2 linked regions of the Cricetulus griseus genome follow. The protein of the gene in region 2 interacts with the protein of the main gene of each other region in a biochemical or structural test. Links are inferred from orthologs where the notes say so. Each region holds a gene or a part of one and is shown on either strand. Other genes may lie near its edges.

Evidence for each region.
Region 1: the proteins of paired box protein Pax-3 (region 2) and Sox10 form a complex in vitro, tested with the Homo sapiens proteins (2 studies listed by BioGRID and IntAct). The link is inferred for Cricetulus griseus from reciprocal best matches to the Homo sapiens genes PAX3 and SOX10.

The regions. Positions count from the first base shown.
Region 1 is NC_048595.1:376,276,937-376,280,078, reverse strand, and holds part of Sox10 (transcription factor SOX-10), read left to right. Parts: intron 1-2,360; coding exon 2,361-2,629; intron 2,630-3,142. UniProt on the Homo sapiens protein: Transcription factor that plays a central role in developing and mature glia.
Region 2 is NC_048595.1:431,082,611-431,086,434, forward strand, and holds part of paired box protein Pax-3, read right to left. Parts: intron 766-3,824; coding exon 519-765; intron 25-518; coding exon 1-24. UniProt on the Homo sapiens protein: Transcription factor that may regulate cell proliferation, migration and apoptosis. Involved in neural development and myogenesis. Transcriptional activator of MITF, acting synergistically with SOX10.

The sequences.
Region 1 (3,142 bases), about 55 Mb from region 2:
CAACCATCTGTTGCCAAGAGTTTGTCCCTATCCCATTCCCACTCTAGAATCCTTGACTGAGTCCCTTTCGGGCAGACTCGGCCCTGGCTATGATTCAGACTGTGCCCACAGCAGTCCACCTGGGGCAGGGAAGGCAGGAGAGCCCTGATGGCTGTGGGCCCAGCCCCAGGGACGGGAGGTGGCAAAACAATACCAAGGAGCCAAGACTGTGTCAATAGGTGGTGGCTCCTTGGGCCCTGGATGGGGGTCCTCAGAGACACTGGAATGTGGGCTGGGCTGGGCCGGCCAGTTTCTCCAAGAGTCTAGACATCTTTCCCAAGCTCCTGATTCCAAGGACATAAGGAGCGTAGATGGTTGGTTAGACAGAAGTGGAAAACATTATAAGCACAGACTGAGGAGAGCGTGCCTGAGGTTGGGATCAATGCTCTTGAACACAGGTCCTGGGTGGTCATGTGAGTACTTGGCACACTAACCTTGGCTGCCATCTGGGGAGGAACCATTACATGCTGATCCATGGGATGTTTGGTGCTGCTTAACCTGTATGGAAAGTAGTCTGAGCCAGGAAACTAGGACTAGTTTGCATCTGAGCTCCTCCGACAGGGGCCTCATAGGCCTCTCCTTGCCCCACGTTGCACAGGCTCTTGGCCTAACAGGAGGGCACATATAACAGTAGCCAGTGTCCCACAAGGAGCTGCCCACTGGGCTGGGAACCAGCCTCTTTTTCCATCCACCTCTTCCAAACCCAGAGGCGGGTGGAAAGAAAGGGGGCAAATGAGTACTGAGCTGGGGTGGGGGTGGGGGCGACAGTGGAGAAGGGCAACCCTGAACGTAAGGACTTGTATAGGAGTGAAGGTTGGCTGTGGGGATGGGGTGGGGTGCATGAGGAGAGCTGCACAGTGTTGGCACAGAGGGGCTAAGATTGGAGCTGGCACCACAGCACCCCCAGGTTCCTGTTAGGGCTAACTGGGCACAATATAACGTGGGAGGTGATGGCAGGATCCAGTGTTACCATCTTGCCTCACTTCTGGTATGTGTGGCCCTCTCCCACATTCCTGGCCATTTTCTTGGTGATTTCAGATTGCCAGCCAGGAGGGGGACACTGAGGGGCGAGTGTCCAGTGTCACCGGCCACCCCAGGAGCATCTGTGCTGGGCCCATGCTGTCAGAACTGTACCACCCTGTTATGGGGTTCTTTCTAAGGCTGGGCCTTGGGGGTCTCCATCAATCCTGAAAGTCCACTGACCCTAATGGAGTCTGGCTTCACTAGAGGGTCCTTTGGGGAATGCCGGGAGGGTGCAGGGCGGACCAGGAGGCTAAGCTGCAAAGGAATGCTGCTGCTGGCTAGAAAGTGCCTGGTATAACCAGCCCGGAGAGGGGGCTTGGTCTTCTGTTGCCTAGGAGAAGAGGGCACCAATTGAGTGTCCCTTAAGTGTAAGAGTGGTCCCTGTGTCTGGAGTCTATGGATCTGTTCTTTCCCCTCTTTAAGATGCCCCACCCTGTCTTCCTTACCCTGGGGCAGGCAAGTCCTGGTACCCTCCACCCTTCAACTTTGACCTGAGCTGGAGTCATATGGGTGGGAGCACTGAAATGAGGGCTTCTCCATGCTGTGGGCTGGCCTCAGATTCCTCTACCCTCTGTCACTCCCGGGTCCCAGATATGGGATCTGTCTCTGGAAACAGTGCCCCCATATTGAAGGGGGCACACACCTAGAACTCAGTCCCACCATAGGGAAATTTCACCAAATCATGTTTTTTAGAGTTGAGGATCTACCCTTGGGCTCTCCTGTGCAACTCCTCCCCAAGCACCATTAGAGTAGCACCCATTTTCTCTAGGTTCCTCCCTCCCCAGGCCCAGGGCACTTCATATCTATATTTCTGGTGACCCCACCCCCAAGAGAAGTAGGTGAGACCATCCCCGCTTTGTAGGCAGAGAAGTAACTGAGCAAAGTCTAGCATACAGCTCGTAAGTAGCAGAGACTGGGTTCCTCTGCAGCCATGTGCTTCTCTCCACACCCCTCTAGGGTGTGGCTCACCCTTCCATGAGGTGGCCAGTTCTACTTGCATACACTTCAGTAACAGGAGCATTTCCCTCTCCTGAACCTGCCCTTTGTAACTCCTTTTTGACTGTGTGCTCAGAGACTGGCCCCTGGTGTCCTCTAGCCAATGAGAGGTAGGGGACAGAGATCACAACCACCTCAGGCTGGGACTCCTTGGTCTGGCATTTTTGGGGGCACTAACCATAGGGCACAGCCCTACCTTGGCTCTGCCTTCTGGGTGCCCCATCCCAGGAATGAAATTCCGATGGAAGCTCACCTGGGTGCCCCAGCACTCATGTTGGCTCTGGTGTGTCTTCCACCTCTAGGTTGCTGAACGAGAGTGACAAGCGCCCCTTCATTGAGGAGGCTGAGCGGCTCCGGATGCAACACAAGAAGGACCATCCGGACTACAAATACCAACCTCGGCGACGGAAGAATGGGAAGGCAGCCCAGGGGGAGGCAGAATGCCCAGGCGGGGAAGCTGAGCAAGGAGGGGCTGCTGCCATCCAGGCCCACTACAAGAGTGCCCACCTGGACCACCGGCACCCTGAAGAAGGCTCTCCCATGTCAGATGGGAACCCAGAGCACCCCTCAGGTGAGTGCTGGGTTGGGAGCTAGCAGTTTGCTGTTGGCAGAGCTGCAATGGGGCTGGAAGAAGCCAAGCAGTGGAGAGTTCCCTAGCCTGAGCTGGGATCTGGGAAGGGTTGGCCAGGGGTGCAGAGTACAGAACCCAGAGGCAGTTCAGTGGGGATTCTGGTAGCTTACAGTTAGGCAAGGTGTCTAGAGAGGGTCACTGGTGCTGGGAAAGGAAAGCCAGTTCAGAAAGCCATGGAGGCCATGAGGTGAGAAGCAGTTACAGGAAAAGGGCAGAGGGATGCATTTGAGAAACAAACAAAAATGACAGGTGGTGGCACACACCTTTAATCCCAGCAGAGGCAGAGGCAGAGGCAGGTGGATCTCTGTGAGTTAGAGGCCAGTCTGATCTACAAAGTGAGTTTCAGGACAGCCAGGGCTATGCAGAGAAACCCTGACTGGAAAAACCAGAAAGGTGCATGAGGGTGGGGGTGGCGGGGGGTGGGGGTGGTGGTGATCAACCGTGGATGGAGAG
Region 2 (3,824 bases):
CTGGCTTGAGATAATGAAAGGCACCTGTAAGGAAACACACGCAGCTTTTTAGGTCATGCTGGGACAATTCACAGTTAGGGGCAAGATCAGCTACAGGCTGACAATGTCATATTTAATACCACGGTATCAAAGGATTGAGACTAATATTTTTATTCCTGAGACAAGTTTGACACAACTCTGTGTCCCGGGCTTATCCCCATATGATCCTGGCGCTGACCTCATTAAGAACATGTGTTTCTAATGCCAGAGGTTATTTCATTTTGGCCAACCTCTGTGTTTTACCTACTGACAATCCGGCTTTATGTCCCAGCAATTAATAACTGCAAGATGTTATTGACATCAGTTAAGAAAATAATTACACAAGGGAGCCTGAGCTGTAGCCATCAGCTAGCTGGATTTGCCACAAAACTGATACTGGGATGAAAGGCTTAATCACACTTCCAGGTCCCCTTTCTCAGGCAAGAGGTGATCTCTCTCCCTTCCAGGAGGAACTACCCCCTAGAACGTCCAAGGCTTACTTTGTCCATACTGCCCATACTGGTAGCCTGTGACAGGGTCCATACTGTAGCCTGTGGTGCTATAGGTGGGGGGACAATAGGGCTGAGATGTGGGAAGACTGTCCACATTCTTCATATGTTCCAGTCTCTGACTGCAGCTGGCTGACACCGTGGTCGTGGGTTCCAGGCCCCCAGTGAGAGGGGAGAGAGCATAGTCGGTCTGAGGCTGGTGCGGTACCCCACCGTGGTTGGTCAGAAGTCCCATTACCTGCAATAACAGGCAGATTGGAAGAAGTTAAAGTGTGGGCAGAAACAGATGGCAACCCAGAACCATCAAAAGGTCTTGAAAGGGCAACTTTTATGTCTTTACAGATCTGTTGAGGAGTGTTCTGAGCACTTTGACCTCCATTTAAAGTGGCAGCCACATGACCTCACCCAACGATAACATCTGACTGTAGTTTCAGAAAAAGGAAGGGGAGGGAGAAGGAAAAGAAGGAAGGAGAAGAGGAAGGCAGAGAAGGAGAGATTACACCATGTCTGCTGTGATAACATCAGACTGGAATTTCAAAGAGAAGTAAAGAAGTGACACAAAGAGGGAGACATTATATCAGTCTATACAGAAAAACTCCTAATATAGTACATCTGGACACCCGAGTGATTGTGTGTGTGTGTGTGTGTGTGTGTGTGTGTGTGTCTGTGTGTCTGTGTGTCTGTGTGTCTGTGTGTGTGTGTCTGTGTGTGTGTGTGTGTGTGTGTGTTCTCGTGTGCACATGCACAAACACACGCACGCACACTCAAAAGCACCCATACATATGAGTGCATATGTGTTTCTGGGGATTGGACTCAGGGACTTATACATGCTAAGCAAGTACACTACCACACAGTTGCAATCCCAGCCAACCAATTCAAAAGTCACCTGCACATATTTGAGTGTATGTGTAGGCACATATGTGTGCCTGTACATGTATATATGCACATGTGTGTACATATGTGTATTCGTTCATATGTACGTGTGTGCATATATATATATATATATATATATATATATATATATATATATATAATGTTTGCATATGTATCTAAATGTGTGTATGTGTAAACTAGAAGTCGAGGCTGGAGATGTAACTCTGTGGCAAATCCCTGAGTTTGACCTCCCAGCACTGTAAAAAATAGAAAATTAATAAATCTGTCAAGTTTTTGTGCATGTATCCTGAGACCTCCATGTCTTTTTTCATCACGTTCCCTCTCAGAACAGCTTCTCTTTGGTTCATCAATCAGCACCTAGAGATCATCCCTCTCCCCAGGGTCCCCTGGTGCTTCCTTCATTATGCCTTCTATGTCATCTCACTTTGCCACTTTGATTTGACACATGAGAGCCATGATATCTGCTGCATTTCCTACCACACCCCCCAACCCCCACTGCTTGGAAGTCAGTGATGCCAAGCAGACAGACATGGTGGCCAAGGTCTACAATCCAAGCACACAGAAGCTGAGGCAAAAGGATTGCCCTGAGTTGGAGGCTGACCTATGCTATAACTTGAGACCTTGTCTCAAAAAGCCAAAGCAAATCAATAGATCCTACAAGCACTTGCTTCTATTATCTATCCATTTCTTCCTTCTCAGACTCACGGTTTACACGTAAGGGTGCTGAAAAGGACACACGTGGGTTTTTTTTTTTTTTTTTTTGGGTTGTAAATGACCCCAGAGATGAGGACACTATATCAAATAGTAATCACAGAGCAAAAACCCTCTGGTTAGACCCATGAAGCTTTTCCCAAATTCATATGCACTGGCCCTTCCAACCCTTTCATCATGGAATGTCAGTGGATAATTAATTCAAAACTAGAAAATGTCCACAGGAAAGAAAGTGACCTTTCCCAAAAAGCAACTGCAGAAGAAATCTACTAGTAGGTGAAGAACACCCCCCCACAAGAAAAACCGTCCAACTAAAAATGTATTTAAGTGAAGGCACCCCTCAGCTGCATCAAGGATCCTGCCCAAATAAACCCAGACCACAGCCCTCTGTGCTAAGCATGGAGTTCTGTTCACAGACAGGCAATTCTGGCAACAGACTCCTGGATCTAAGGGCTCTATCACACTAGTGTTGGAAGCTACTCATGAACCCCATAAAGCTTTCTTACTGAGACTGGAGAACAAGATCCCATAACTTCCTTTGGGGAAAGTTTACATAACCTTAGATGTAAACAAAATCTTAATAAAATTTTAAACTGATCCATCTTCAGTGGGCCACAGGGTACCATCCCAGAGGAGTGCTTAGTGCCTTTCTCCATCTAAAAGGTCACTCAACTCCCTGCTCAGCCTTTCAATTACTGATACAAACTCACACTAGAAGGCAGGCAAGAACAGTCAAAGCAACACAAGAAGTCCAAATTTTTGAAGTCATCCCAGGGATGAAAATTTGTTGGAGCTATATGGCAAGATGTGCAAAAAATAAAAAATAAAAAATAAAAAATAAAATAAAGAAAGAAAGAAAGGAAGGAAGAAAGGAAGGAAGGAAGGAAGGAAGGAAAAAAAGAAAAAAGTCTTATCAAAAATTTAATCATCAGTAGACAAGCATAGTTTTATTGGGGATTACAAGTAAGGGACCTTGACAACATCAAGTGAAAATCAGTAGGCCAACAGCTGCAGGAAGACAGTCACTAGAACACAGCCTCTAGTGGTACCCTGCCCAGCACTGTTGATGAGTTCATTTCATTTGCATTTTTTGAATGTAACTAGGAATGTATTTAAATGATCTCCTGGATGCTTACTACCTCTAGGGAATCCTCCTCCTTTTCTTCATCCTCTTCCCCCCCTCCATCCTTTGAGCTTGTATAGATCAATTTTTCAGTGAGTACATGGAAAATTCTTCAACTTTTGTTGGTTCACTAATTTACAAAATACTTTATTTCAATCCAAGTTAGGAGTGTCTATTTTTAAAGTCCTTAAAATATAATCTACAGCTGGGTGTAGTGGACCCATGACTATAATCCCAGCACTTGGGAGATAGAGGCAGAAGAATCCTGTGTTTAAGGCTGATCTCAGCCACAGAGTGACTTTGAGATCAGCCTGGTATATGGAACACCCTGCTTTCAACTCAAGAAGTACATGAGCTGGCCTGATGAAAAGAACAGACAGGGCAAACAAACAAGGGGAAAATGTGATTTTTCTTACAGAAGGGAAAGAGTGGGGGAAGGGCACATGTGTGCTGTGAATAAGCTGTGTCAAGTTAAACAAGCACATGGGAAAGACAATTTTGACTCTATCAGTCCTGAAAAGAAAACATTCAGTGTTATTGGGTAAAAAGGAATTAAATTTTAAATGAAT